3 linked regions of the Callithrix jacchus genome follow. The main gene of each other region encodes a partner of the protein of the gene in region 2 in a complex. Links are inferred from orthologs where the notes say so. Each region holds a gene or a part of one and is shown on either strand. Other genes may lie near its edges.

Region 1 (10,562 bases), on a different chromosome or scaffold from region 2:
CCAGCCTCTTCTCTTACAACACCAACATATCAGTCCTAGTCCCATTTAATTTTTGCTTGTTTGTTTTTTTTGAGTCAAAACCTGGCCATGTTTTTTTGAGTCAAAACGAGGCTGCCTAGGCTGGCCTCGAACACCTGGACTCAACCATTCCTCCTGCCTCAGCCTCCTGAGTAGCTGGGACTACAGGCATGCATCATCGTGTCCAACTCATTTATTTTCTCTCAGCCTTCTTTGCTGAAAGTGTGACAAATGATGGAATATACTTATATTTATCAAAGCAGGCTGGCAACAGTGCCATAACCCAATAGTCTGGGAGTCTTCAACAGACAGAAGGTCAGGAGTAGACTATTCCAGAGCAAATAAGTCATTCATTAGCCTTGAAATTGCACCACTTTGACAACTATTTCCCAACTTTAGGGTCAGCCCTGTTGATTATACCCTAGTATGAAGAGCCTATAATTAACTTAATTCAAAACAGTAACAAAATGTCATTACAGGGGCTTGGTCTTAATCACTGTACCCCTACAACTTAGAATAGTGCCTGGTCCATGGTAGACACTCAAATATGTTTTTAATAAATGAAGAAACAAAAGAACCAACACTGTAACACACTCAGTTCTTTAGTGAGTCTTTACAAAGACAGTTGTAACTATCAGATCACTACCAATGCACAAAGTAATAAAAGTTATTTTCAAAATTCCCCCAGAATATTTTTCTCCTTCCTTTTTTTAATTGTTGACTTTCTTTGAAAATTCTCCAACTAGAAAAGCTAATTACCAACTTCAGTCCAATGATGCATCATGCTCATCTTCTGCCTTACATTAAAAAATAAAACTGTAACACTTTAAACATTATCACTTTAGTGACCCTAATTTTTCAGAACTTCCTGAACCACTTGACTTGAACCCATAAGGTGAAGTTAAATACATAAGCAATGGGGGAAAAGGGAGAACTTACTACTTTGGGACTACACAGAGAGAGGTTCCATTCTCAATGATGCTTCTAAGTAGCGACAGTTAATTTTAAGTTATTTATTTATTTAGAGATGGGATCTTGTTCTGTCACCTAGACTGGAGTGCCGGGGTACAATCACAGTGCACTGCAGTCTTGACCTCTTGGACTCAGGAGATCCTCCCACCTCAGCCTCCCACATAGCTGTAACTATAGGCATCCACCACCACACCCAGCTAATTTTTGTATAATATTTTTCATAAAAGGGTTTCACCATGTTGCCCAGGGTATTCTCAAACTCCTGGGCTAAAGTAATCCTCTCACCTTAGCCTCCCAAAGCGCTGGGATTACCAGCATGAGCCACCACACGCAGCCTGTATTTTTAATTTTTTGAGTCTCTATTTCCTGACCTGTAGAAAAGGAATAAATTTACTAAATCTACTTCATCTAGTTGTTTAAGGACCAAATGTATACAAAATTATTTTAAAGCAATAAATTGCCATACAAATATAGGTTATTAGCTTTTGGCACATACATTTTTGGATTTAAATGGATGGTTTCCATTTATCTTTTCATCTCTCTGCAACACTTTCTATTTCCTGGATCCAAATACATGCCAGAACAGGGAGGAATCAGTTCACACTTGTAACAACTAAAACACAGCGGGCCCTCATATTATTTGTTGAAAAAGATGATCATCCACACATAATTACAAACCAAAAAATTCTGCCACACAAAATATATTACCTTGTAAAGGTTAGTCAGTGGGTTACTTTTTTGGGGGGCGGGGAACGGAGTCTCACTCAACCGCCCAGGCTGGAATGCAGTGGCACAATCTCAGCTCACTAAACCTTCACCTCCCAGGTTCAAGCTCCTCTCCTGCCTTAGCCTCCTGAGTAGCTGGGATTACAGGCACCCACCCCCAGGCCCAGCTAAGTTTTGTACTTTTAGTAGAGATGGGGTTCCACCATGTTGCCCAAGCTGGTCTCAAACTCCTGACCTCAGGTGATCCACCCATCTTGGCCTTCCAAAGTGCTGGGATTACAGGTGTGAGCCAGCGTACCTGGCCAGGTTATTTTCAAATAAAATAACAAATGACCTAACATACTCAAAAGATGCCTGTGTTTTTGTCAGGAGTTTCCTTTGTGCACATTACTCAGCATGATATTTATCCTATGTGAATATACACTGAAGGAATGTGCTTTGGTGTTTTGGTTTCACTTGAGACATACCTTCTATTAAAAAAATTATTTCCTCTCTCTTTAGCACCAGCAAGATATCTGAAGATGCCAGATTTCTTCTTTAGGTTTTACTTTCTATGCTTCAGTACTCACAGGGAAACCTTTTGGTGGACTTATGGTCATTTCTCAAACCAGTATGCCATTCTTACACTAATCAATCAGAAAAATAAGCTACTTTTTGAAAACAGTAACTAGAAAGATATCACAAAAATTTCAGTCCACTCAAATTTGTCAAACAACATCAGAACCATTTTAAATACAAAAGATCTTTGTTCTTCTGGACATTATGCCGGCCTGACACAGTGGCTCTTGCCTGTAATCCCAGCACCTTGGAAGCCAAAGGCAGCAGAGATCATCTGAGCTCAGGAGTTCAAGAACAGCCTGGGCAACATTGTAAAACCCATCTTTTACCACAAACACATAAAAGTTAGCCAGGCATGGTGGCATACACCTGTAGTCCCAGCTACTCAGGAGGCTGAGATGGGAGGATCACTTGAGCCTGGGAGGTGGAGGCTGCAGTGAGCTGAGATCATGCCACTGCACTCCAGCCTGGGTGACAGAAAGAGACCCTGTCTCAAAAAAAAAAAAAAAAAAAAAAATATATATATATATATATATATACACACATACATACATACACAAACACACACACACACATGCCCCGCCTCAAAAAGAGAACTCAGCTTATTTAACTCTAGTTCTTGATGTGTGTGTCACAGATCATCTATTACTAATTTATATTAGGTGGTGGTTTTGTATTTATGGTTGAATATGAATATCCTTGAGATGCAAAATTCCTAATAGTTCAAAGCAAATAATGAAAAACCTGGTAAACGCAGCCACACAACTCGGCATTCCTATCTTTCTTCTCATTTACCCAGCTATATCCTACTGCTGAAATGCATGTTTCCTAGTGTGTTACCAAAAAAAAAACAAAATGGGTTTTATGTGCTCACTTTTGTCATTTATGTCTATTGAAGCTAAAGGGATATTCCACGGCCATAGAAAAGATTTGCCCTAATAGTATCTAAGTTACAATTTAATTATCATCTGAAAACAAGTCCCCCCTCCCTAGAGAATTAAATATGTAAAATTTAAAGGACAGCTACTGCATTTATGGGCAATAATCCTATCCTAACCAGGAACATTGCAATCTAAATCTAGTTCTTATAAACCTATCAAAGGTAAGAGTGCACAATACATACAACATTCTAGAACTACATGAGAAATGAGAAGGCAGCAGCATCACTATTCAAGGCTGTCAACTTGAGAAGGAAGACACATAATTCTAAATTAGTTCCAGAACTACATTCATGGCCTATCACATCTACTCCTGGATGCTTTCATCAAACCTTGAATTACATTCTTTGACATAATACCAGTTTTGCCGGTTTAAACAGTCCACCAAGTGAAATGAAACCAAGGAAAACTGCTCTGGTTGGAAAAAAAATGGGCTCCATGGTCAAATAACTCAGGTGTGAATCCAGACTTTGCCCCTCTGGAGCAAGCATTTAATTCTTTGAGCCGAGACTTCCTGATTTGGAAAAGGCCATGGCCATCAGCCTAGAAAATAATTTTGTATCAAGTCCCTCAGTCTGTAATCTGTCCAATTATGGCAGGTGACTAACAAATGTGCAATAATCTTATACTAGTAAAGGGCCAGTTCATAAATCATTATGAAATATCTCATTATGGGTATCATAATTAAACTCCGATTGCAATCCCAGCACTTTGGGAGGCCAAGGCGGACAGATCACTTGAGCTCAGGAGTTCGAGAACAGCCTGGCCAACATGGTGAAACCCCATTTCTACTAATAATATAAAAATTAGCCAGGCGTGGTGGCGGCCACCAGTAATCTCAGCTACCTGGGAGGCCGACGAAGGAGAATCCCTTGAACCCAGGAGGTGGAGGTTTCAATGACCGGAGATCATGACACTACACAGCCTGGGTGACAGGGCAAGACTCCATCTCAGGGAAAAAAAAAAAAATGAATAAATAAACTCTATGAGATTTATTTAAGTTATAACACTTTTCAATATTTTATTTTTAGATATTTTAATATATAAAAATGAAAACTGTACAGAAGTTAAATTCTTCTTAAAACTGACATTTTACATGTCAAAAACGGAGCCTCAACTGTCAACAAAGTTAAAATGGGTTAATTTTTAAAAAATGTTTGGATGTATATATCTATTCAAACCTCACATGGTCAAAATCTTTGAAACTTTCTAAAAAACTTTCTAAAGAAAGCTACATTTTGGAAGCCAGATACAGCCCAATTGTCTAAACAATGGGCTACATGATACACCACAGACTCCAGGCAAAGTCACAACAGGATGAGAAAAGAGCCTTCAGCCTCTCGGATTTCCTGGTCACTGTTATTTTAAAACTTGATCACGTAAACATAAATAGGAAAAAAATCCATTTCAGATAAGCTCTACTGGTTATGATTTACAATCTTTTGTTTTTAATACAATATTTAATTGCATTAATTTACATTAAATATTATAATTGTTCATTACATTTTTCTTGCTCATGTTTCTGGGCACTAACCAAGAATATATATGTATATCATATATAGTTTTATATATTATACAGTTTTTAACATATTTCCTTAAATGTCATTCATACTTCTGTTACTGCCATTTACAATAGTTTCTGAAAACAATAATGTAACTTACAAAGATGGAGAATGATAAACAGCATGTCACACACAAAAAATGCAAAAGTAATGGGCAAATGTACATACGACTACAATGACTTGTTTACCGATGTGGATGTAATTCCTGCCTAACGTAAAAATACTCAAAACGAGCTGGATATATAAAAGTCAGCGAGCTATTGTGAAAGGCTGCATGGTTTCAAGCTCTAGTTATAGTCCACTTGGTAACATTTGTGGCGGTTTCTACAATTAAAGGCAAAAGACACAGTTAAGTTTTTTGTTTTTTTTTTTACGTGCCGTGACTCCGATCAGAGGTAATTTTTTCACTAAACATTCTCCAGTTGGAAAACCACAACCTGAGACATCTAGGAAGCTCAGTTAATTTGTACAGGAAATGCTGCTTTGCCGCCAACCTTTGTACCATGACCACTACAAGTCCAAGTTCAAGATTCATGTTTTATGTTGTGAAGATAAGTTTCAGCTAAATCTTAAGAATGTTAATTTCTAGGGCAGGTGCGGTAGCTCATGCCTAATCCCAGCACACTGGGAGATTGAGGTGGGTGGATCACCTGAGGTCAGGAGTTCGAGACCAGCCTGGCCAACATGGCAAAACCCCATCTCTACTAAAAATACAAAAACTAGCTGGGCGGTAGTGCACGCCTGTAAGCCCAGCCGCTGACGCAGTAGAATCACTTGAACCTGGGAGGTGGAGGTTGCAGTGAGCCGACAGAGTGAGACTCCGTCTCAAAAAAGGAACCTTAATTTTAAAACTCTCAAATTCTGACTAGATAGACTGCATCTATACCACCAGAGCATTAAAAAAAAAAAAAAAAAAAAAAATGAGACTTACTTAGCCCGTACAGTTAGTCTATTAAGTTAGGGCAGTTCTTCTCGTTTTCTCACTAATACTCATAAATTAGGAGTTAAGCATCTTTCCACGGTATCACTTTATGCTAGATAAGATGTAATGAATTTTTTGAAACTGTATGGAAATACTTCTAAACTCAGATGTTCTAGGGATACCCCATCAAATTATGTCCTATTTAAAATTAAAATACCAGAGTTTGAGCATTTTAATCGTTTTAGGGAGTTTTTGGAAATTAACAGAAGAAAGTTCTTGTTCAGTAGCATACCTGTAAATTAACATACTCAAGGTACTGAGAGACAAAGAATAAAGCTTTACAAAGTCTCAATCTGGTCTTCTACATGATTAGACTATTAATGGTATCATTTGATCTTCACATCTCAGAACAAACTGCGCTCTCCCTGCACTGTATTTTAAGCGTGTTTACAAAAGAGAAAATAAAACTATCACAAAGTGTCCAAGTCCGAGTTGGACACCTGAGTGCTCTGCTTCTACCTGGGAGCCAGGGAAGAAACACAAAGGGACCTTGGTGATTGATAACCCGTGAAAGGAGGCTAAACGTCTTTCTGTGGAAACAAGAACCACCCCCGGCCCCACCGCGCGCCGCCGCCGCCCGGGGCCGACCCATCACCTGCTTCTCCCACCCGCGTCGTCCGGCGGTGAACCGACGCGTCGGCCCGGGAGCTGCCCGAGGAGGCCCAAGAGCAAGGCCGGGCCGGGAACAGCGAGACCCCGGAGCCTACGCCCCGCAGCGGGGGCTCCGGGACACTCACCGGTGCCGGCGTGAAGGCAGGTGCGCGGCGGCAGAGGTACTCGTGCAGCTCAGGCTGAAGGGCGCGGTGGGAAGTGATGAGGGCGAGAGATGAGGGCGAGCGAAGAGGCCGACGACGCGGACGCGCTGCAGGACGGGGCGGCGACAGCGGCCCGGCTGCGGCTGGCTTCCTGCTCGGACAGATCCCGAGTCGGTCTCCGCCCGCCGGCCGGCGCCCAGCCGAGTCCCCGGCACCGCGGCGTGCACGTCACGGCTACGGAGCGCCCGAGGGGGCGGGGGCGCCGGGGCCGCGGTGCGGCCGGCCCCCGGGAGCGCGCCGGGAGGGGGCGCGCGTTCTGGGAGCGAGGGCGCCGTACCCCCGGGGTCGCCCCGCCCGCGGCGCCGAGCCTCTGGGGCGGGGTGGGCGCCCTGCTGCGCAGGGAGGGGCTGCCCTGGACAAGCCGGGAGTTCTGGTTCCTCGCACAGAGAAACGGCCTCCTTCGTCGCGGTAGCTGTTTCCAGTCCCAGTGAGGCAGGTCCTCTCCGGCTGATGCCGGGACTGTGCAGGCTGCCAACAGCAAGAATCAGTTCAAGCAGGGAGAAAGTTGTTCGGAGAGGGGGCGAGGAGTCCGGGGCTCCGCGCTGGGGACCCAGGGACCAGGTGGCCGCGCCCGGGCTGCAGCGAGGCTGTGTGGCGGCTACCTCGGCTCCGGATCTGGCCGGCTTGGGCTGGGCTGCCCTGCATAGGGAGGAACGTTCCTGCACAACTAAGTTCCAGTCGGCCTTTGGAGGAGGGAGGGCTTGAGATGTGAATTTCGCACCCCTTTGCTTCTCCCCACTCCCACCCTCGCCGCTGCATTTACTTTTTAGAGTCCCTACCTTCTCAGTCGTTTAAATGTTACTGTTTTTATACGTGACATATCTGTGAATCACTTTTTAAAATATGAAGTACCTATGCAAATTTGAATTATATGGTGAAAACACATCATCTTTACGATGAAAACAGCTTCTGTTAAGGCAACGAAGTGATAATGGACTATAATGCTAAATGTATCCGGGGAAAAAAGATAGCCTACTTACACATGAGAGTTGCACGTTTTTCTGCAACATTTATATGTAGCGACTTGGAAACTTCTGGAATTCTGAAGATTCCGAAGAGAATTTCTGATACTTAAAGGCTTCACGGTTTTCTTGGAGAAACAAAACAAAACAAAACAAAAAAAAAAAAAAAAACTGAGGTCTCGCAAGATGTTTTAGCTTTCAACTAAAACAAAATATTAAGAATAAAATAGGGGCTGGGCATGGTGGCTCACGCCTGTAATCCCAGCATTTTGGGAGGCTGAGGCGGCCGGATCACGAGGTCAGGAGTTTGGGACCAGCCTGGCTAGCATGGCGAAACTCCATTTTTAATTAAAAATATATATATACAAAAAATTAGCTGGGAATGGTGGCCCATGCCTGTAATCCCAGCTACTTGGGAGGCCGAGGCAGGAGAATCGCTTGAACCCGGGAAATGGAGGTTGCAGTGAGCTAAGTTCGTGCCACCGCATTCCAGCCTGGGTGGTGACAGACTGACTAGACTCTGTCTCAAAAAAGAATAAAATAGGGAAGCAAGAAAGAGGAAGAGAAACAAAGAAAGGAAATAATTTACAGCAATCTCAGAAATTAATTCCAAATTGCCAGAAGTTAAGTCTTAAGTATATAAAACTAAATTTCAAAGCAAACTGAAATAAAGGAGAAAATGAAGATGGCTGTCCGAGTTCACTGCTCTGACTCAATTTTGGATTTAATACTAAACGTCATTAGGCGAACCAATGGAAATCAATACTTTCTTTAATTTTGTTGTTGTTGTTGTTGTTGTTGGTAAAGACAAGGCTTGCTGTGTTGCCCAGGCTGGTCTTGAACTCTTGGCCTCAATTGATCCTTCCATCTTGGCCTCCCTAGATGCTGGGATTACAGGTGTAAGCCACTACACCTAGAGAAATCAATACATTTTAAAGATGTTTTTGTAACTAATGACTTTGGGAATCTTTTTTCTCTTCTTTGTCCCCCTGCTACCAATCCATTACTGAGTGCCTTTGCTTCTGGCTCTATAATATATCTCTAATGTATCAAATTCCTCTTTATAGCGACTACCATTATCTTATTTCAAGCCACTATCATTTCAAGTCTTGCATACTGCCTTAGTCACCTAACCAGTTTCCCAGACCACAGTCTTGTCCCCTTCTAATCCAGTCTTTACAATGTCATCAGTTAGTCTTTTATGTACTCCACTATTTAAATTCCTGTAATGGCAATCCCCAACTCTTGATATAAAATGCAAACCACTTAAGACGTCTTGTAAGGTCCTGCTTGATTTAGCCACTAGCCACAAATTGGCTGTTTTTGTTTGTCTAATATAATGGGTATTTCTTTTCTTCCTCCTCTTTTTTTTTTTTTTTTTTTTGATAAAGAGTCTCCCTCTATCTCCCAAGATGGAGTGCTCTGGTTCGAGCTTAGCTCACTGCAACATCCACCTTCCAGATTCAAGGGATTCTCCTGGCTCAGCCTCCCAAGTAACTGGGACAATAGGTGTACACCACTACTCCTGGCTAATTTTTATATTTTTAGTAGAGATAGGGTTTTGCCACGTTGACCAGGCTGGTCTTGAATTCCTGACCTCAAGTGATCTGCCTGCGTCGGCCTCCCAAAGTGGTGGGATTACAGATGTGAGCCATCACACCCAGCCCTTTGTGTTTTGAGACAGAGTCTTGCTCTATCACCCAGGCTGGGGTGCAGTGGTGCAATCGTAGTTCACTGTAACCTCCAACTCCTGGGCTCAATGAATCTTCCCACCTCAGCCACGTGAAGTAGCTAGGACTATAGGCACATGCCACACTGCTAGGCAGTTTTTTTATTTTGTTATTTTTTATAGAGACAAGGGTTTTCTATATTGCCCAGGCTGATTTTGAACTCCTGGACCCAAGTGATCCTCCCTGCCTTGGCTCCATAATTACAGGTATAAGCCACTGTGCCTGACCATGTTTTTTTCTTTTAATTGAATTTTAATGACTTTTCATTGGTTATGAGGTCCCCAATTCATTGATGCCCAAAAGTCACAAAGCTATCTGTCTTAAGCCAGGCTTCCTCACACAATGTTACCTGCCTGTCTTTGGAATGATTTACATTCACTGTCAACCCTGCTTACCTCTCCAATCTCATTTCTACCACTGCCTTTCTCTATTTCTTGTCCTTTATATTCAGGCCATTCTGAAGTACTTATGTGTCCCAGAACAGAAGGCTATGCTATTTATTACATTGGAGCATTGCCAAGCTAAATCCAATTAATCCTTCAGAACAAAGCCTATTTGTTTCCTCCAGTAAGTTTTCCCTAAACCCCCTTGGTGCAAATCCTAGGTGCTTTTTGGTGCTCTTTCCCATCTCTCACTTAACACTCATTGCACATATCTCTTCAAATACATATTTCACTATTGCTTCTTAAGTTTACTTCTAAGTATCCTCCAACTAGACTGTAAAATTCCTTGAGGTCGTAATAAGGGACTTATCTTTGCATCCCTAATGCCAGGCAGAGAGTCTTTCACATGATAGTCACTCATTAAGCAGTGCCTACCATTAGTATTACTATTTGAATAAATAGGACGGATGAACAAATGGCAAGAGAGTTGACACTTGTAAGAAACTGCATGCACTGGCAGGATACAGTGACTTATACCTGTAATCCCAGCCCTTTGGGAGGCCGAGGTGGGTAGATCGCTTGAGCCCAGGAGTTTGAGCATGGTATAATCCCATCTCTACCAAAAAATACAGAATATTAGCTGGGCTTGCATTCCTAGCTACTCAGGAGGCTGAAGTGGGAGGATTCTTTGAGCCTGGGTGGGGGAATTGAAGCTGCAGGAAGTCTTGATCACGCCACTGCACTGCAGCCTCAGTGACACAGCAAGATGCTGTCTCAATAAAGAAAAAAGAAAAATTGCATGCACTGTTATTAATCATGGTGAATATAACTCATCTTATTTGTTGCCAAAACTCATCTTAACAAGTTATTCCATATTTTTACAGTCATGCATCACTTAACCATAGGGATATATTCC
Region 2 (10,470 bases):
TCATCCAGACTGGAGTGCAGTAGCACCATCTTGGCTCACTGCAACCTTGCCTCCCAGGTTCCAGAGATTCTCCTCTCTCAGCCTCCCAGGTAGCTTGGGACTACAGGTGCATATCACCATGCCCAGCTAACTTTTTGTGTTTTTAGTAGAGACAGGGTTTCACTATATTGGCCAGGCTGGTCTCAAACTCCTGACCTTGAGATCCACCTGCCTTGGCCTCTCCAAGTGCTGGGATTACAGGTGTGAGCCACCACGCCTGGCTGAAGAGATGTCTTTCTAATTCACTCACAGATGCTATATACATAGGCTAGCTGGGGCTCTGTCCACAATCTCTGGAAGAGGAAATGCACAGTGAGCAGGGAAAGGTGTAAATGTTTAATACTATTTTTTTTCTTTCTTTTGTTTTCTTCTTTTTCTTTGACAGTCTTGCTTTATTGCCCAGGCTGGAGTGCAGTGGTGCAGTTAGGCCTTAGGTGGTGAGCTCAGGTGATCCTCCCACCTCAGCCTCCTGAGTAGCTGGGACCAAAGGGGCTTGCCACCATGCCCTGCTCATTTTTTTATTTTTTAGAGACAGGGTCTTGCTGTGGTGTCCAGGCTGGTCTCAAACTCCTGAGCTCAAGCAATTCTCCAGCCTCAGCCTCCCAAAGTTCTGGGATTACAGGCATGAGCTACTGTGCCCAGCCTCATATAATTTTTAATGTTGATATGGAGACAAAGCAAGACAAGTTCTATAGACAAGATCAGGAAGTGCCTCTCTGAACAAGTGATGCTGAACTTGAGACCTGAATGACAGGAGGAAGCACCATGCAATGATTTGGGGCAAGAACATTCCAAGTAGAGAGAACAGCCAGTAGAAAGGCCCTGACCTGAGCTGCAGCTGGGTGTGGCGGCTCACACCTGTAATGCCAGCACTTTGGGAGGCCGAGGTAGGTGGATCACCTGAGGTCAGGAGTTTGAGACTAGCTTGACCAACATGGCGAAACCCTGTCTCTACTAAAAATACAAAAATTAGCCAGGCGTGGTGGTGGGCACCTGTAATCCCAACTACTCGGGAGATGGGGTTTCACCATATTGGTCAGGCTAGTCTCGAACTCCTGACCTCGTGATCCGCCTGCCTCAGCCTCCCAAAGTGCTGGGCTCACAGGTGTGAACCTCCCTGCCCGGCCCGCACCCAATCTTATGTACCCATTTGTTCACGAATGCATTCCTACCTGGTCCATCTCCATGATCACTCACCTAAACTACTGCTCTTGCCTCCTGGTGGGTTTCCCAGCTTCCACCCTCACCCCCCACGACTTCGTGTCCAGACAGCAGCCAGAATGGTCCTGTAAAACAGAAGTCACGTCACATTTGTCTCTGTTATGACCCCTCCTCGGGCTCTGGCCTCACTGGAAGGAAAATGGTGTCAGCCAGCCACCACAACCAGCCTCGGTTTGTTTTCCTAGTCAGGGGTGTCATCTGTTGTGCAGGCTGCAGTGTGGTGGTGTAATCATAGTTCACTGCAGCCTCCACCTCCTGGGCTCAAGTGATCCTCGTGCCTCAGCCTCCTCCATAGCTGGCACTACAGGAGCACACCACCTTACATGGCCAATTTTTATTTTTATTTTTGAGACAGAGTCTCGCTCTGTCACCCAGGCTGGAGTGCAGTGGTGTGATCTCAGCTCACTGCAACCTCTGCCTCCTGGGTTCAAGCAATTCTCCTACCTCAGCCTCCCTAGTAGCTGGGATTATAGGCACATGCCACCACGCCTAGCTAATTTTTGTATTTTTAGTAGAGATGGGGTTTCACCATGTTAGTCAAGCTGATCTCGAACTCCTGACTTCAGGTGATCCACCTGCCTCGGCCTCCCAAAGTGCTGGTATCACAGTCATGAGCCATGGCACCTTGCCTTAATTTTTTTTTTTTTTTTTTGGAGAGATGGGGTCTTGCTGTGTTACCCAGGCTGGTCTCAAACTCCTGGGCTCAAGTGGTCCTCCTGCCTTGGCCTTCCAAAGTGCTGGGATTATAAGCATGAGCCACTACATCCGGCCAATAATATTTGTTGAATGAATGAATGGATGACTGAATGATCCCAATATCCACACACCCAGCAGTCTGGGTGCCTGGCCCCAGGAAGACAAAGGCTCTCATCTCTGCAGCAAAAGCACAAGTCCCATTCTGTGGCCCCCACATCTCTTGCTTCCCAGGTTGGTGCTAGGCACATAGTAGGTGCTTCAGCTAGCCAGGAAGGCAGGAATAGCATCTCCCTCACCTTTCATTGTCTGTGTGGTTTCTTTTTCTCTTTTTTTTTTTGAGACGGAGTCTTGCTCTTGTTGCCCAGGCCAGAGTGCAGTGGTGCGATCTCGGCTCACTACAACCTCTGCCTCCCAGGTTCAAGTGATTCTCCTGCCTCAGCCTCGCGAGTAACTGGGATTACAGGTATGTGCCACCATGCTCAGCTAATTTCTTGTATTTTTAGTAGTGACGAGGTTTCTCCATGTTGGTCAGGTTGGTCTCTACTAAAAAAACAAACGAAAATAGCCAGGGATGGTGCTGCATGCCTGAAATCCAAGCTACTGGGGAGGCTGAGGCAGGAGAGAATTGCTTGAACCTGGGAGGTGGAGGTTGCAGTGAGCCAAGATCATGCCACTGTGCTCCAGCCTAGGTGACAGAGCAAGACCCTGTCTCAAAAAAAGAAAAAGAAAAAAGCCTTTGTCATCCGTCATTACCCCCCCAACTCCACCAGCTCTGTGCACTGGGAGGCAGGAAGCTAAAAACCTGTCTGGAACCTGGCCTCATCTCTTACTAGCTGTGTGGCTTTGGGTAAGGGTCTTAACCTCTCTGAGCTCCAAGGAAATCACACATGTGCTTGCAATAGTCCTGGTACACAATAAGCTTTTTGTAAATATTGGTGACAATTATTACTACTGCCATCTGTACCAAGATCCAAACTTCCAAGATCCCTACATCCTGACCAAGATTCCCAACCTCCCTACTCTCTCTCTGTCCACACCCACTGCCCTGGTTCATGCTGGCTTCTGTGTCCCCACCCGTGAGTGAGGATTAACAGCAGGGAGGAAAGTGAGTGATTAATGAATCTGCCTGCCACAGCCATAAGAGGCTTCATGGCCTGGGTTCAAATCCCACCCTTGCCACTTACCAGCTGTGTGGCTGTGGGCAGGTCACTTCACTTCACAGGGCCTCAGTTTCTTCATCTGAAAAATGGGTAGAATTCCTGTCACTCTCAAGGTGGTTATGGAAATCCAAAGAGATTGCCCACGTATCCCATCTATACTCTGCCTCAGACTCCATGTAAGGAAGCTGTTGTCATTATTACTGGTATCGCCTTCTCTGCCCTGCCCTGCCCAGGAATATCCCCGCCCTCTCTGCCTGCCAAGACCTACTCCAGGCTCACTCCTCCAGGCAGCCTCCCAGGCTTGCCCCAGCATGTTGGAACCTCCCCTGTGGTACAGACAGCTCAGGCCCAGGAACTTAATTGCATGCTGCCCTGGCAGAACTCTTGTCTTCCAGCCTCAGGCTGTCATTTAACTTCATGTCTCTATTTTAAAACATAAATGAGATGGCATCATTGCCCTGACTGAAACTTTACAACGGTTTCCCACCTTCTGGAAGAAAAATTGCAAACTCCTTACTGTGACCCACAAACCCCTGCAGAATCCCTGCTCTGGGTTCATCTGCTCCAACTAGATTCCAAGCTTGGTCCAGCCTAAAGAAAGACCTTGGCCTTGCCCGACCTGTTTTTTTTTGTTTGTTTGTTTTGTTTTTTTTTTTGAGATGGAGTCTTGCTCTGTTGCTCACGTTGGAGTGCAGTGCCACGATCTCCTCTCACCGACACCTCCACTTTCCAGGTTCAAGTGATTCTCCTGCCTCAGTGTCCCAAATAGGTGGGATTACAGGCATGCACCACCACGCCTGGCTAATTTTTAGTAGAGGCAGGGCTTCCCCATATTGGCCAGGCTTGTCTCAAACTCCTGACCTCAAGTGATCCACCTGCCTCGGCCTCCTAAAGTGCTGGGATTACAGGTGTGAGCCACCTTGCCCAACCCCCTTATCTGATCTTCCTGGCACTGGCACCCCCTGCCCACAACCCTCTATAGTACTACCCACACATTTATTCATAGCACTTAGTGTCATCTGAAATTATCTTCTTTATTTACTTGATAACTTGCTGTTGGCTGCTTCCTTTCAGAGTGCCAACTCCTCAAGAGCAGGAATTTTTGTTCATTTATGTTATTTTCTGTGCCAAGAACAGTGCCTAGCACGTGCCCATAGTAGGTGCTCACTTGAAATATTTGTAGAATGAATGAATGTGTCTCAGGTCCTCATTCTGACTGCTCTCTGCAAACCTCCATCCTCAAAACAGCCCCCCAAACATGCCTACTGTGGGGTTACTAACTCCCCACTTTCCCTGGCTCCCCTCACACCTGAACGCAGAGATGAAGAAGAGAAACTTCGACCTGGATATTAACTGTTTGGGCTGGAATTTCGGCATCCCGGCCCCCTCATCCTGGGAAGGGCCTGAAACTTCGCAACCCCACAGCCATCCAGAAACACAGTGTGGTCGGCAGGAGGAGGGAAAGGGGTTCCTGGGAGCACACAGAAGCTAGGGGAAGGGGGAAATCACGCCCAGGCTCCCCCTTCCCACACCGTGTTGCCTTGGAGAGGAGGGAGAGAGGCCTCTGATTCACTCTTGAAAAACCGGCTCCTGGGTGTTTCCCTGGAGAACGCCTACTGCTCAGCCTTGGCCCAGGTTGCCAGGGGGGACCCAGCAGGCCCAGGACCCCAGCATCCTGGGCCCCTGCAGATGTCACTCTTCTCTGGACCCAGGTAGTCAAACCTGCCCTCTCCAGCTCAGGGTAGAAGGGACATGAGGGCAGCTTCCTGTTTGAGTGGCTGGTATCTGGTGATCTTTGGGGGTTGTGGGGGTGGGGGGGAAGGAAACAAAAGACCAACAAGTGTGGCCCTGATGATGAGTATGAGGTAGGGGTGGGAGGGGTAGGGGCTGGAGCTGCTCAGCAACAACTGAACTATGGAGCCAGTGGGTATCAAGTCTAGTGGCTGAGACTCCAGTTCTGGACCCTGGGGGCATGAGTTCCAGCCCCAGATGTGCCAGTTACTAGCTGTGTGACCTTGAGCAAGTCACTCCACCTCTCTGAGCCTGCTGCCTCACCTTTTTTACAAGAAGGCACAACACCTCCCATGAAGTGTTTTGATTCAATGATCCGCATGGTAAATGCCTGACACGGAAGCGCTCCATAAATGCTAGCTGGGGTGGAGTTTTTCATGATGATAATTATCCAGGCCCTGGTCCTCACTGCGTGCCCCAGGCCCTGGAGGGTTCAGACGCGGTTCGCTCAGGGAAAATGGACAGGAAAGGGTCAGAAACATCGACCCCACGCCTGTCCCCCCCGGGATGGGGGCCGTCTAGAAGGGGGAGGGGGGAGGGGCAAGCCCGGAGACCCCTACCTGGTGCTGGGAGGCGTTTGCCCTCTGCCCTCCAGCAGGAAGGGAGCTGCCCCCACCACCCCCACCCTCGCTCCCCCCAGGAAGGGGCCTCCGGCATCCCCGCGCTCAGCCTAGACCTCCAGTCGCGTCCCCGGGGCCCGCCCCACCTTGCACGATCCGCCGGATCCTCGCGGGCCCGCGACATCCGGGGCCCCCAGAGTGGACACATCCCTCCCGCCGGGGCCACTCACCTGCGCCGCCGCCACCGCCTCCCCGCGCGCACCCGGCTCGGCCCTCCGCAAACTCCTGCCTGGGCCTCTCCCGCAGTGGCGCCTAGGGGGGCGGGGCCGACGCCCGCGGAAGACCAATTAGCGGCTGTCTTCCGGAGCTCGCGGCCAATCCGCGCCTCCCGCTTCGGGTGGACCCGACGGAAACATTCCAGAGGGATCCCTCCGCCTCACCCGGCTCTTCCCGGCTCCCCCTGCGCCGCAAAGCAGTGGACCTTTCCGCCCCGCCTGAGCCGCGGCGGGCTGTACCACCAGAGGGCTGAGGAGGGGGGGCGGAGCTGCGGCTGGGTCCCGGCCAATCGCGGGGAAGGAAGGAGGCGAGCGGCCAATGGGAAGGAAGCTGGGGCCCCTGAACCACGTGCTGTTGGCTGAATGTCCGTCTAGGGTGCCCTGGGTGGTGAGGGGCGGGGGAGTCAGGTGACCGAGGCCAAGTTTCGGGGACAGGATGCGAACTCCCGACGTCCGGGAAAGTGGACCGTTTAGGAGGCCTGGGTGGGGGGTCGATGGCAGCTCCTAACCCAGTTCCCCGCCCGGCCTCTGCCCCAGCCTGGCCATCCTCGGAGCTGATAAAAAGTGCATTCATACTCTAGGGGCGGGCGGGGGGCAGAGATAAATACGGAGGGTCCCGAGCGTCCCTGCTTCCTGGAGTGTACAATGGAGAAAGGCATTCATTCATTCATTCATTCACTCACTCATCAAATATTTAATGTGCCCTCTGCTCCGTGCCAGGCTCTGTCCTACAGACAAACGCGTGAGCCAGTAAGCCGAATATGCTTCCAGTAGAGATAACAGAGTGTGCAAAAGCCAGAGAGCTACAGCACGCTTTAGGATAGTGCAACATCGTGGGAGCTGGTAAATCAGTGTGGAAAGGCAAGATGGAATGAAAGACAAGAGTGAGATAGTTTTTATTTGCTTGTTGATTTGTTGGTCACTTACTACGTGCTAGATCACAGAGGGTACCCAGCCAGCCTCCGACCTTTGATGGATCTGTCTCCATCTGACTGTGAGGATGGAGGCTGACTGAGTCTCTCTCGTCAACCCCTCACTCCCATCTCAAGCTGCCACATAACAGGTTCTCAGCAAACCTGTGTGGACAAATGCACCAGGTAGTTTATAAGGAACGGGGATTTCTCAGGAGGGCACAGATCCAAGAAACATGAGTCACAAACGCACCTGGAACAGGCCAGGACGCTCAGTTCCCAGGACAGGCGAGATTTCCTTGTTCTAGTTCAAACCCAGCCACTTGGACAGCAACTGAATGCTGCGTGTTCTGGGAACTGTAGTTCTTGGAAGCCTCTAAGCGCTGAGACCCTGCTCAAGCTTCATCGGATGACTGGTTCTTTGCAGTTTCCAGGGTGTGACTGTGTGCAACTCAGCCCCACCAGGACCTGCAGAGGGGTAAAGTGAAAGGGGAGATGGAGACCCGGCATGGTGGCTCACGCCTGTAATCCCAGCAATTTGGGAGGCTGAGGCGGGCAGATCATGAGGTCAGGAGATCAAGACCATCCTAACACGGTGAAATCCTGTCTGTACTAAAAATACAAAAACTTATCCGGGCGTGGTGGCACGTGCCTGTAGTCCCAACTACTCGCCAGGCTGAGGCAGGAGAATGGCTTGAACCAGGGAGGCGGAGGTTGCAGTGAGCTGAGATCGCGCCACTGTTCTCCAGCCTGGGCGACAGAGCAAGATTCTGTCATGAAAAGAAAGAGAAAGAGAGAGAGAGAGAGAGAGAGAGAGGAGAGAGAGAGAGAGAGAGAGAGAGAGAGAGAGAGAGAGAGAGAGAGAGAGAGAAGATGAAACCTTGAGCTTCACTGCTGAGGATTGCTTAGTCAGCCCCACCCAGCTGGCAAACACTGAGAAGGCTGTGGCAGGCCAGGCAACAGGCACAGCTATTGTCCCTCTCTTCCTGTTCTGCTGACCTCTGCCATCCCACTGAGCAATAGGTGCCTGGGCTGGCCAGTGCCTTCTGTGGGACTGTGCTGCCTGCCCTGCCTGAGCCTGGCATCTGAGCTGCCCCCTGCACTCTTGGAGAGCCCAGGGGACAGCATGACTGAGGCTGCAAAGTCCTGAGCCAGGATCCACCTGGCTCCTGTTGTGTGATGAGGAAATGCCCAGAGAAGGGGTGATGGGATTATGTGATTGCTCAAGACACAAAGCGGCACTGGGCATCTCCTTTCTGATTTATTTTTATTTTTATTTTTTGAGACAGTGTCGGGCCAGGTGCAGTGGCTCAAGCCTGTAATCCCAGCACTTTGGGAGGCCAAGGCAGGTGGATCACAAGGTCAGGAGATTGAGACTATCCTGGCCAACATGGTGAAACCCTGTCTCTACTACAAATGCAAAAATTAAATGGGTGTGGTGGTGAACACCTGTAATCCCAGCTACTCAGGAGGCTGAGGTAGGAGAATCACTTGAACCCAGGAGGCGGGGGTTGCAGTGAGCTGATTTTGTGCTCCTGCACTCCAGCCTGGGCGACAGAGCAAGACTTAGTCTCAAAAAAAAAAAAAAAAAAATCCAGTTGGGCGAGGTGGCTCATGCCTGTAATCCCAGCACTTTGGGAGGCTTAGGCAGGCAGATCCTAAGATCGGGAGATTGAGACCATCCTGGCTAATGGTGAAACCCCATCTCTACTAAAAATACAAAAATTAGCTTAGTATGGTGGCGTACCCTGCTCACACCTCTCCTAGTCCAGCCAGCCCCATCACCTCCCACCCGGTGCAGCGGCTTCCACCCTGGTCCTCCCGCTCCACCCTCACTGTCAGCCCTACAGTCAGTTCTCTGCACAGCGGCCAGAGGGCGTCCGTGAGCACCCGAATCAAGTCACCTTCCTTCTCGACCAAGGACCGCACCCCCCGAGGCCATGTGTCCCCAAAAAAACCTGTCCCTGTGAGCCAAAGTGTGTTTTTTTTTTAGGAGTCACACCTGGCCACACTGATGTCCAGCATAATATTCCTGGGGAGCGTTGGGATCCCACGAAGGCAAACTACCCAGTTCCTGGCTCTGACTTCCATGTGAAAGAAAATCGGGCCTTGCCCCTCCTGACTTAAACTCTCAATTTCTCTTCCAACTCAGGAATGCAGGGCCTGGTGTGTCTCATTCCTAAACACACCCGGTCCTGCTCTCTCCTGCTCTCTCAGTTTCAGCCACATCAGGCTTGTGTGTGTGTGTGTGTGTGTGTGTGTGTGTGTGTGTGTGTGTGTGTTGGTTCCCAGATCCCCAGCCTAGGGGCCTCATCCCTGGCTCATTGTCCAGGAGCCCCTCCCTGCATCCTAACAAGCTCTGTGCCTTGGCTTGTGGGTCCGGGGCCTGCCAGCCCTCTTCCCCTCCACGCTGCAGGCCTATGGAAAGTGCCTCTGTCAGTTTAATGAGTTGAAAGATGCCCCCACCCTAAAAGGAATGCCCACATTCCAGAACCTGTGAATGTGACCTTACTTGGAGTAAGTGTCTTCAAAGATGTCATTCAGTGGAGGATCTTGAGATGAGATCATCCTGGATTAGGGTGGTTGGCCCCGAAATCCAATGACGGGTGTCCTTACAAGAGACAGAAAAGGAGACACAGACGCACACAGCGGGGAGGGCCGTGGCAGAGACTGGAGCAATGCAGATATGACCCCAAGGAAGGCTCAGGATGGCTGAAACCACCAGGAGGCAGGAGAGAGCCGCCCCCACTTGTTAATGCCGGGTGCAATGGCTCACGCCTGAAATCCTAGCACACTGGGAGGCTGAGGTGGGTGGAGTTCAAGACCAGCCTGGTCAACATGCGGAAACCCTGACTCTATGAAAATACAAAAATTAGTTGGGCATGATGGTGGGTGCCTGTAATCCCAGCTACTCAGGAGGCTGAGGTGGAAGAATCGCTTGAACCCAGGAGGCAGAGGTTGCAGTAAGCCAAGATCATGTCATGGCACTCCAGCCTGGGTGATAGTGAGACTAAATCTCAAAAAAAAAAAAGAGTGAAAGAGAAAAAAGAAAAAGACAAAAGGTCTTTCAGGAAAGAGGGGCTCTCCTGGAGCCAGAGTGAATATCTGCTTCTCCCTGGTGGGAGAGTTGAAGAAATTAGGGCACAGGGGTGGGGTCCCTGGCAGGTGTGGGTGGGGCAGAGGGAACCACCAGCTGACCCCAGGGCTGGGTTATCCTTCCTCTGCACATACCCTGACATGAATTATCATAGGAAAAAATGTTGCAGGTCCTCTTGTCTGAATCACTTTGTCACTTAATTATTCACTTAGCGAACACTCAGAGGGTCAGATTTGGGGCAAGCGTCACTCTGGCCACTGGTGATGCAGATTATTAGGATGTGAGTGGTGACCTCAAGGGAACTCACAGTTGCCACGGAGTGGGGGACATTTTCAAGTATTCTCCTGCAATTGTCACTGCTGCCCCTCTGACAAAGAGGGAAGGTGTCTTACTTAAAAATTATGGAGTTTGGGGCCGGGCGCAGTGGTTCACGCCTGTAATCCCAGCACTTTGGGAGGCTGAGGTGGGTGGATCACGAGGTCAAGAGATCGAGACCATCCTGGCCAACATGGTGAAACCCCGTCTCTACTAAAAATACAAAAAATTAGCTGGGCATGGTGGCACGTGCCTGTAATCCCAGCTACTCAGGAGGCTGAGGCAGGAGAATTGCCTGAACCCAGGAGGCAGAGGTTGCGGTGAGCTGAGATTGCGCCATTGCACTACAGCCTGGGTAACAAGAGTGAAACTCTGTCTCAAAAAAAAAAAAAAAAAAAAATCACG
Region 3 (9,802 bases), on a different chromosome or scaffold from region 2:
AGGATTTCTGGAAGCCTGAGTGCTGGCTCAGTGGAACATTTCCCACCACATGCTCCTAGCGCCCGGAAGAAGTGCCAAGGACATTCCCAGTTCTTTGTCATGGGCATCCTGCCTTCTGAGGCAGTACGTGAGAAGCAGTGGAGCAAAGGCATTTTCTTTCCCATGGTCCGTCTCTGAAATGCATGGGCTAAATGCAGGGCCATGCACGCCCTGGACCAATCCTGCAGGGCCAGCTCTAATCATGCTGTCTCATCCCTACTCACAGCCACCAGTGCTCTCCTGCCTCCCTGTCTTTGCCGGTGTCATTCCCTCTGCCTGGAAGGCCATCTTCTTCCATCTCCAACCTCTAAAGCCAGACAGAGCCTGGTGTGCCCCCAACCCACTGCATGATCTCACAGCTCCTAGCCACCCGTCACCCCTCTGTCCACCCCTTCACTGAATGCTCGCTTGAATGGCTCTTGACTTTCAGGGGCTGCTGGCCAGAGCTTAGTCTGATTCTCAGACGACATTGTGCCTGGCCAAGCAGGTTGTCTACACCCATACTGGCTTTCCCACACCGGGTTTTGGGCCTCAGTTTTCAAAGCCAGTGCCAAGCACAGCTATGGCAGGTGCCATTGGTCTGCAGTGACACAGTTTCTGATGGAAGGTACCGGCTTCTAGGTGCCTCCCTGTCTGAATGACTCACTCATCCCACACCCGCTAGACCTGAGCTCTTTTTTGGTTCCCCTCCCAGGAAGATCTCTGAGGTCAGCCTCAGAGAGCCGAGGAGGCCACCCATGGTCAGCACCCCACTCGCCCCGTGCATGGGCCCGGCCTGGTCATTCCTGGGAGCAGCCGACCTTGCCCAGCTGCAGGTCAGAGATGGAGCAGGCATCGATGAAGGCCTGTGCGATGACTGAGAGGCAGGCGTCAATGTGGTCCGTCTTATCGATGTCAAAGACAAACTGGGGGTTCTTCAGGATGTTCACCCAGAACCGGAGAGGAAGGCTGTGGGGTGAGGTAACAAAGGCCATGAGAACCCACCCTGAGGGTAGGGTGGGGGAGGATGCAGTGGAGGGACAGCCTTGGAGGAGAGAGCTGGCATTGTCCCTCAAGGGCCCGAGGTGGAGCCTTGTCACAAGATGTGACCTTTGGGAACGTTAGTTTGCCCATCTCTGGCCAGCTGGGGTGGCAGTGGGGCCGAGAGCCGGGTTTCCTGCTGGAGCAAGGCAGGAGCTGCAGGGCTTAGCTGGTCCACCCCCGCAACCCCCTGCTGAGCCTCCAGCCAGGTCCTGGTTCTCATTAGAAGCCCCCCACCCTGCCAGCCCCCAGCTCCTCCCCCAACCCTTGCAGGCAGCAGGAAGTCCAGCATTAGCAGAGTAGCTGTGGCAGGGATGCAGGGGCCAGGGCCTGGAGTGCTGGCCTTGTCCTCAAGAGGCCAGAGAGGGTGAGCAACACCCACCTCAGGCCACCCAGTGACTCAGCAGCCTGGGCACGTGCACCCCCAGAGCTCTGGGAAGCTGCTCTCACTGCAGAGAGATGCCTGGGCTGGAGGCATTCTTCCCAAGGCTCAGACTGGGTTTCCAGCAACTTCTCGTGGGGGTGTGTGACCCCGACAAGCTAAGAGGTGCTTCCAAGCAGGGCTACCGACTGGGTAGGGGATTCAGGTCATGTGGGGCTGAGCCTGGCTCTACTGTCTCAGGGCCGGTGTGGGCTTGAGCAGGTGTGCTCATCTGTGAAGTGGAGCTAGTGGTGCCCACCTGAGAGGCGTGTGGGAGAATGATAGTAAGGACAGCCCCTAGACCGTGCCTCCTGGGCACTCTTCTAGTTAATTCCTACCATTAACGTGGGTGGCATTTTACAGCTGGATGGAGGGGAACTGAAGCACAGAGAGGCTAAGTCACTCATCTGAAAGCACACAGCTGGGAAATGGCAGAGGAGGGCTTAAACCCAAGTAGGTGAGGCCAGAGGCTAGACTCTGAACCCCCTGCCACAGGGGCCCCGACGGTACAGTGAAATCCGCATGGCCCCCACCTGTTGGTCTTCCAGATGTGTAGGGTGTCCGGGTCGGAGATTCCCCTCTTCTCAGCCTGCTCCTCCAGGAAGTCAAAGAAGTACTTTACAGCCAGCGGGGGCTTGTCTTCACGGATACTCAGAATGGCCTTGAACAGGTCATCCAGAAACTTCTGCAGCGTGCCCTGTAGGGTAGCAGGGTGGCCACCATCAGCCCCAGGCCATGTGCAGAAGGCTAGTGGGCACCCTTGGTGGCTCTGCAGAGCTTGAAATGCCCAGGCTGCTGAATGAGGAAGCCACATGGCATCAGGCTGGTCACCAAGTCTATCTGGCCTCAGTATTTTTGTCTGTGATAATGGGTTAGCCTTCGAAACTTGCTTCACAGAGGCACTGGAAGGACCAATCAAGGCACTGACACAGAGTCCAGAACTGGAGGTGCCAGGGTATGGGCTGTGGGGTGGTGGCACTGCTACTGAGCGTGGAGTGTGTCCTTGGGGACATCACTGACCCCTCTGGGCCTCTGCTGTGACGTTACGTGGACTAACGTAGAAGTGTCTGTCAGGCATTTTTCCTGGCAGCAATGGGAGGAAATGCCTCCTCAACTGAGACCCTAAGCATTCAGCCTCTTAGCTCTCCAGCCCTCCAGTTCCACAAGGGAAACAGGAAGAACTCGCAGCCCTCTCCCAGCCAGCCATGTGCACAGCTGGCCCTTGTACCCACTGCACGGAGGGGAGACTGAGGCTGGACCCACCTTGGTGGACAGCAGGCGGGTCAGGTAGATTTCTGGGAGCACCTTCTTGCGGTGGCTCTGCCGGTGAGACTTCTTGGGCTCTGTCAGTTCGTCCGTGGGCGGCACCTGGGAGGCCAGGCAGTGGTCAGCATCCGCACCAGGCCCCATCCTTGGCCGCCTGTGGGAGGTCTGGCTCTGCCATGCTTCTTAGCGCACAGGGCTGTGGTTCCCTCCTGATTCGGGGCCCCATCCCCACTCCTCCACCCCCAGCCTTTCCCGGGGCTTGGAGCACTTTTCCCAGAGGCCCAGGGCCACAGAAAGCCAAGGCCACACCCACTGAGGGGCCGGATCCCCTGGGGCTGAGCTTGGGCACTCACCAAATGGAAATATTTCTCTGTGTCCAAGTCTTTCACTGTGAGAGGAAGAACACAATAAATAAACATGAGAGAGGAGAGGAGAGAGAAACAGAAACGAAGACAGAAAGACAGGGAGAGAAACAGAGACAGAGATCCAAACAGGCAGAGAGAAGAAGACGGAGGCGCAGACACTCACAGGGAGACTGAGCCTGGGAGAGATGGAGAGAGAGAGGAGAGAGGTCCAGAGACACACAGCCAACAAGGCAGAGTAAGGCAGAGAGAGAAATACACACACACAGTGACCACAGGGATGGAGGGACTCAGAGGGAGGGACAGAGGAGGAGGGGCCCGGGGAGGCAGGGCAGCTGCCTCCGCCCACCCCTCTGGAGCCCAGAGCTCCTGCTGGGGGAGACCTGAGATTCTGCCCCCAACCTCAGTAGGGGACCCGGAGACCCAGGAGCCTGGGCTCGCAGGCCTGCCAACCAGGCGGCTGTGCCATCTGAGGGTGTGGAGGGGACTTGAGGCAGGGACATGGCCCCAGGCTGGATTGGCATGCTGGCTCCCCTCTGGCCTGGCCACTGCCCAGACCTCCTGGAACCACTTCCTGCCCTCCCCGGGACTCTCTCCAGCTGCCGCTGGAAATCGGCTTGAAGAGGCCTGGTGCGGGTCCTGCCCAAGCAGTACTGGGTCAGAGGAGCTTGGCCCCGCCCAGCCCCCACCAAGGAGGCCTCAACCCAGGACAGCCCTGCCTCTTGGAGCCTCAGTTTCCCCACTGGGGCATAGGATGGAAGCCCCCACCCACACGTAGCCTAGACTCCCTTCCCATGTGCACCCACACTACCTCGGCCCAGTGTGTTGTCCTTCTTGTCTATAAGGCTCATGGCCAGGGAGGCACCTTCAGGGATCTGACAAGAGGGGAAAGGACAAGGTCAGTGGCCAGAGGCCGGGGTGGGGGAATGGAGGCTGAGGACTGAGTGGGGGCAGCACTGCACCTTGTAATGGGCCAGCGTGTTAAGCTTCTTGCGGCCGTCTTCCACCACTGAGGTGTCATCCAGGTCCCGAAGGATGTAGCTCTGTGTACTGGAGGCGAACCACTCTGGGGGACAAGGAGTAGACCATCAGGGCCTGGGCAGGGAGCTGAGCCTGAGGGGTAGGTACCGGCCCAGCCACACAGGGAGAGGCCTCTCGCTATCCCCATGGAAACCGAGGCAAGCCATGCCTCTCTCAGCCTCCATTTTCCCATCTGTAAAATGGGGAAGGCAGGAAATGAGCTGGGGGAGAGGGTGTGAGGGTACAAAGTGAAGGTGCCAGGATGGAGGACACCAAGGAGAAGCTCTGGAAGTGGCCTTGTCTGCAGGGCTGCTCATGTTACAATTTCGATGAAACCCTTGGCCTCACAAAGACTCACAAAACCCACTCCGTGCCGGGCGTCATAGCTCACCCCTGTAATCCCAGCACTTTGAGAGGCTGAGGGAGGAGGATCACTTGAGCCCAGGAGTTCAAGACCAGCCTGGGCAGCATAGCATGACACTATCTTTACAGAAAGTAACATTAGCTGGGTGTGGTGGCACACACCTGTAGTCCAAGCTACTCAAGAGGCTGAAATGAGAGGATCACTTGAGCCCAGGAGCTGAGACTGAGTGGTTGCACTCCACCCTGGGTGACAGAGTGAGACCCTGTCTCAAAGACAAACCAACCCACTTTAGGGGTTGCACCCCTCCTTTAGGAATGAGGAAGCCGTTCCTGAAGGCTTTTTGCTGCTGCCCTTTACTCGCCCACACTGCAGGACTTGTCTCCCACAGAGCAAGAGCTTCTGGCCGAGGGGCTCATCAGATCCTCTCCATGTCCCCACGTTCATGCACCATGCCAGGTAGAAGGAGTTTTTCCGTCAAGGCAGGGGCCAGCCCCAGCTGAAGCAGCCTGATGGGGCTCCACCCCATCCCCACCCACCGAGGTCGACATCCTCCACGCGTGGCCATTGGGAGTAGGGCACGTTCTTGCAGAAGGCCTCCAGGATCTTCTCCTTGACCTGCGTCAGCGTGTCAGTGTCCATGGCCCGCACGCTCAGCGAGTCCATTCCGCAGCCCTGGAAGGACACGTTCAGGTTCTGCAGGGGAAGGCGGGAGAGAAAGGTCAGTGAGTTGCCACCATCACCATGTCGGTGCCCAGGCAGCAAGGCCCTGCCCAGGAAGGCTGGGTCAATGCCGTAAGGTCAACGCCCCAGCCCTGGGACCCTCCCAGCCCTGCCGGCTCACCCGGGGCTTGGCCTCTATGTTCTCCCGCAGCAGCCACTCCTCGTTGAGCGTGTATCGGGCCTTACCCGTGATGGCATCGATGGAGCCCTTGTTGATTTGCTGCTTGATGGCGCACAGCAGCAGGAAGAACGGCTCCCCCACAGTCTCCTGGGGGGCATGGGGCTGTTAGGGCTAAGGCCCCCTCCATATTCCAAGCCCAAGTCTTGGGCCAAACACCTTCACACCCCCATCCCCCAAACCCTCCAACAGTCTGTTTTTGGATCCTGGTGTCAACATCCCTCTCCCGAGGGTGTCCCCACGGACCCTAAGCTCGTGTTCACTAAACACCACCGGCTGCGGGTGGCTGCGTTCACTGTATCATCCTTGTGTAGCCAAAGTGCCGAGGCCCAGAGAGTGCAAGTGACCTGCCCAGGGTCACCCAGCTGGGAAGTGGCAGGCCAGGACCCTGACCTGGCTCAGCTGACTCCCAAGCCTGTGACTTTCTATTAAGTGGGCAGCTGCAGGGGTGAGTTAAGGTGAACCTGGAACACCGATGTGGCCTCGACCCTACTCGCAGGCTGAGGACTGTGGAGTCCCAGGTGGAATGGGGCTCAATGCCCCTGCTCTTGCCCTTCTTGAAGGGAGGCCCTCCAGGCAGTGGCTCTGCTGGACCCACAGCCATGAGCCGATTCTCATGGCCACTGCCCAGCAAGTGACCCAGGTGTTCCACTGGGATAGTTTTACTTAATTACCCACCAAAATTGATTTTAAGAAAAGTTAAGTACACGATAGTGTTAGGCAGATTTGGCAAAGATTACAACGGCAGCATGCCAGCCTGCGTCCTGGTCTAGTTCTCCAGGTCTGGGGTGTGGGAGGCACCGATTCCCCGCTTTCTAGAGGAGGAAACCGGCTCACAGGGGAAGGCCTGGCTGAGGCTATGGGAACAAGCCAGGGGAGGGAGGTCTAGGGTCCACAGTGGCCCTGTGATTCCTGATGGCCCACAGCGAGGCAGCCCGCAGAAGGTGGAGGCACCCCAATGGCCCTGCCTCTGTTCCACCCTACTACCCCCTCTTCCCAGGAGGAGCTGTGGGGCTCCTCTAGGCCCATTTGACAGAAGGAAACCAAGGCCCAGAGAGGGCAATGAGTAGCCCAGAGTCACACAGCTGGGCTGTGCCAAAGGTTGGACTCAAGCCCAGGACATGCTTGCTGGGTACAGTGGCTCACCCCTGTAATCCCAGCACTTTGGGAGGCCAAGACAGGAGGACTCCTTGAGCCTGGTAGTTGGGACCGGCCTGTGCAACAAAGCAAGACCCCCATCTCTTCAATAATTAAAACAAAAAACAGAACATCTGAGGCCCTGGTTCTGGGCTCCAGCCAGGCCTTTGCCTTTCTCCCACAATCCTCCAGGCAGCCCTCTAGCCTCTGCCACCGTAGGGCAGCTGGATGGTGGGACGGGACCAGAGGTTGAGCAACCCCTGCTCTGCAGAGGAGAGCTTAGGGGGTCCTTTTGTCGGAATGCAGGAGACCCTGGCTACCTGGCCCACCCCCTTCCCAGCCTCTGCTCTCATCTGGAGGATTCTCCAGCCTTCTTTCCATTTCTTCCATGAACATCTCCTCCTCCCAGCTTCTGCCCTTGTGCAGTACCCAATACCTGGAGGACCCTCCCCACCACTCCTCGCCTGGCTTGCTCCCTTAGGGCTCAGCACTGGGGTGCCTGCTCCAGGAAGCCACCTTGAAGCCTCCAGACAGGGAGAGGCATTGCGAGGTACTCGCCCCTAGGGCTGGAAGAGCCTCAGGGGCCAGCCAGGGGCTGATTTAATCTCCTTAATCCAGAGCAGGAAGGGCTGGATGACTGCAAAAACCACAAATGGGACAAGGCCCCTGACCCAACCTCTGTTATGCGCCCAAGCATGCGTTGAGTGGCAGGTCCAGCCAGGCCTCCCCTGGGCTGCGGCTCCCCCTTCGGCTTAACAGGTCCTATGGGCCTGTCTCCTGCAACACTCCTTCCTGGCAGAGCTGGCCTGAGGGTGCCAGGGAAGGCCTGGAAGGCCTCGGGGTCACTGCTGCTGCATCCCTGGCACGTCCCCCACCTGGGCTCTGCCTGTCCCCGGGCGGCCTCACCCGCAGACAGCTGTACATGCAGATGGACATCCAGTTGGTGAGCATCTTCTCCACCACAGACTCTGTGCGCCGCAGCATGAGCTTGGGGTTCTTGGCGGCCGAGGCATCGATGAGGTCCACCAGTAGCTCCTTCATGATGCTGGTGTAGTACTCCAGCTTGCCATGCAGCGCGATGGTCAGCAGCGAGGCCAGGCTGCACCTGTGAGCGGGAGGCCAGTGTCAGCTGCGCCTTGAGGCCCTTGGAGTTGGGGGTCCCGAGGCTTCAGTGCTGCTTCGTCCCTGGGCTCAGCGGTCCCAGGAATGCCTGTGTGACTGGGTCCTGCAGATGGGTGAGTGGGGCTGGAATCTGCCTGGAGAAAGAGCCACCTTCTCCTATGTCCACGGCAACCACCGTGCCCCATGAGCCCAGGTCTTAGGTATCCAGGCCCAGGAAGGGCTGGAATATGGGGGCGTCAGGAGTCCCAGGATCCAGGACCTGATGCTGTGTGGCTTTGGACAGGCCCCTCTCCCCTGCCCCTCGCTAGTCTGTCACAGCCTGACCTGTCGCGCACCGCAAAGTCCTTCTGTTGTTCCAGCGCATGGACAAAGACGATGAGGAAGTGCTTGTTGTTGAGTAGTGAGGAGAATAAGCTGATTCCTTCTTCCATGTTGGGCCGGCAGCTCTCAGGAATCTGTGGAAGCAATTGGTGACGGGGTGTCCAGGGGGGCCCAGTGTCCCTGCCTAGCCTAAAAGCCAGTGCTTATGACGGCTGCTTGTATGCCTCCTGGGATGGGGAGCTCACTACCTTTCATGGTGGATGCCTCCTAACTCCTTGTGACTTGTGACTGAGAACAATGGCTCAGTTGAATTGAAAAGTGGGGCTCACAGAAGGGTAAGGGTGCCTGGAGGTAACCCAGCATCCCAGTATGGAGGACTCTCACCTTCCATTCTCTAAGCAGCAGGTGGAGTGGGGTATATGGGGTGGGGCAATCCTCTGTCCTCTCTACCTGGCCTGGTGGGGTGGGGGGAGGGTCAGCACGTATAACATCCTGAACGGCTGCCTGAATGCCTCCTGGGATGGAGGGCTCAGTACCTTACAACGGCAGATGCCTCCCACCTCCATGCCACAGGGATCAATGAAGGGATTAGATCAACCGGAAAGGGGACCCAGGAGAAGCAGGGCTGCCCTGAAGCAGCCCACACTGTGTGGGCTGGGGGGCGGGTACTCACCTTCCACTCTCCCAGCAGTGGGTGGGTCTCCTGCACCTGGGAGATGCCCTGGGAGTTGAGGGTCTGGGAGGGCAGCACATAACGCTCTTCATAAAGGGAGGAACACTGCAGAGGCAGACCCCCAGCATCTCAGCGGGGCTGGAGACCCCCTGATGGCATGCAATGCTCACTCACACAGAAAGGGGCACCGGCCTGGGCTGCTGGGGGAAACTGGCATAGCATTAGCCCCCCATAAAGAAATAAGAGGCAATGGGCCAAGCCTGGGGGTCGTGAAATTCCAGGGGTGTGGCCCCACAAGAGAACACAAGGCTTAAGGGGAAGCAAAAGCAGCTCTGTGTGCAATGGGGGAAATGGAGGCAGAGAGGCTGGGAGTCTGAGCTTTAGCCTGAGGCTGGGAAAAGCCAGCTGGAGGATTTCATGAAAGATGATGTAGTCAAACATGGGCTTGTTTTAGCCACTGTGTGGGGAACGGTGTGGACAGGGAAGGGAGGGTGGTACCACTAGGAGGTGGAAAAGGGCAGTGGACCCTGGAAGGGCAAGGGCGGGCAAGGGCAGGCATGGGCAGCATGGAAGGGATGGGGCAGGAGCCCAGTGGACAGGAGGAGGGGGTATAGAGACCAAGGGAAGCCTGGCTGGGAAGAGGCACAGGGAGGAGAGAGGCTGGCCTGGGGCAGCCCTGGCCACTCTGTCCCACCTTGACAAGGGGAGAGGGGCTGCAGCTGGCTTCCATATGGACAGTTACATATCAAGTGAGTGGAGAATGAGAGTGGAGGAGAATCTGCCCCCCACCGTCTGCCCCATGGCAGGCCAGGGGAAGTGGCCGGGACTGCTGTGGACAGCTGTGCAAGTTTGGCACTGCTCAAGGGACTCTCTAGACTGGCAGGGACCAGAGAGGTCCAGTTGCCCTGAGGTGGCCAGCACAGGTTCAGGGACAGGCTCAGGCTGAGGGTGACCTTGGGGAAGAAGGTGCGGGTCACGAAGTGCTTATACTCCAGGAAAGGGATGCCCTGGCTGCGGTTCAGCTCCTTGGTCAGGTCCGTCATGTCTGTCTGCAGCTCAGCGAAGCCTGGTGGACACACGGACAGCTGTGAGCGTCTTTTCCCCCAGGTGGGAAAGTAGAGGCCCAGCCCTGCAGGGTCCCAGCCCACTACCTTTGCGA

Evidence for each region.
Region 1: the proteins of GIPC1 (region 2) and MYO6 are in contact, whole or in part, in a crystal structure (PDB 5V6E), measured with the Mus musculus proteins. The link is inferred for Callithrix jacchus from reciprocal best matches to the Homo sapiens genes GIPC1 and MYO6. Residues at the interface, in NP_061241.1 of Mus musculus: Glu273, Ser274, Tyr275, Met276, Gly277, Ile278, Arg279, Asp280, Glu282, Leu283, Thr286, Asp310, Phe311, Ala312, Pro314, Glu316; in NP_001034635.2 of Mus musculus: Ser1055, Lys1056, Trp1057, Lys1058, Tyr1059, Ala1060, Arg1084, Arg1085, Leu1086, Val1088, Tyr1089, Trp1092, Lys1093, Asn1096.
Region 3: the proteins of GIPC1 (region 2) and plexin-D1 are in contact, whole or in part, in a crystal structure (PDB 5V6T), measured with the Mus musculus proteins. The link is inferred for Callithrix jacchus from reciprocal best matches to the Homo sapiens genes GIPC1 and PLXND1. Residues at the interface, in NP_061241.1 of Mus musculus: His61, Glu141, Ala142, Leu143, Gly144, Leu145, Thr146, Ile147, Thr148, Asp149, Asn150, Gly151, Phe156, Lys158, Arg159, Arg190, His191, Tyr192, Glu193, Ala195, Arg196, Leu198, Lys199; in NP_080652.2 of Mus musculus: Glu1400, Met1889, Glu1893, Arg1899, Gln1902, Gln1904, His1905, Glu1908, Ile1918, Tyr1919, Cys1921, Tyr1922, Ser1923, Glu1924, Ala1925.

The regions. Positions count from the first base shown.
Region 1 is NC_133505.1:80,983,940-80,994,501, reverse strand, and holds the start of MYO6 (unconventional myosin-VI), read right to left. Parts: upstream 6,692-10,562; 5' UTR 6,494-6,691; intron 1-6,493. UniProt on the Homo sapiens protein: Myosins are actin-based motor molecules with ATPase activity. Unconventional myosins serve in intracellular movements. Myosin 6 is a reverse-direction motor protein that moves towards the minus-end of actin filaments.
Region 2 is NC_133523.1:13,274,219-13,284,688, forward strand, and holds the start of GIPC1 (PDZ domain-containing protein GIPC1), read right to left. Parts: upstream 5,747-10,470; 5' UTR 5,614-5,746; intron 5,332-5,613; exon of another isoform or gene 5,172-5,331; intron 3,196-5,171; 5' UTR 3,141-3,195; intron 1,326-3,140; exon of another isoform or gene 1,237-1,325; intron 1-1,236. UniProt on the Homo sapiens protein: May be involved in G protein-linked signaling.
Region 3 is NC_133516.1:72,539,541-72,549,342, reverse strand, and holds part of plexin-D1, read right to left. Parts: coding exon 9,795-9,802; intron 9,710-9,794; coding exon 9,597-9,709; intron 8,749-9,596; coding exon 8,644-8,748; intron 8,105-8,643; coding exon 7,974-8,104; intron 7,633-7,973; coding exon 7,434-7,632; intron 5,481-7,433; coding exon 5,334-5,480; intron 5,186-5,333; coding exon 5,029-5,185; intron 4,175-5,028; coding exon 4,071-4,174; intron 3,984-4,070; coding exon 3,920-3,983; intron 3,135-3,919; coding exon 3,100-3,134; intron 2,849-3,099; coding exon 2,744-2,848; intron 2,178-2,743; coding exon 2,014-2,177; intron 988-2,013; coding exon 840-987; intron 1-839. UniProt on the Homo sapiens protein: Cell surface receptor for SEMA4A and for class 3 semaphorins, such as SEMA3A, SEMA3C and SEMA3E. Plays an important role in cell-cell signaling, and in regulating the migration of a wide spectrum of cell types.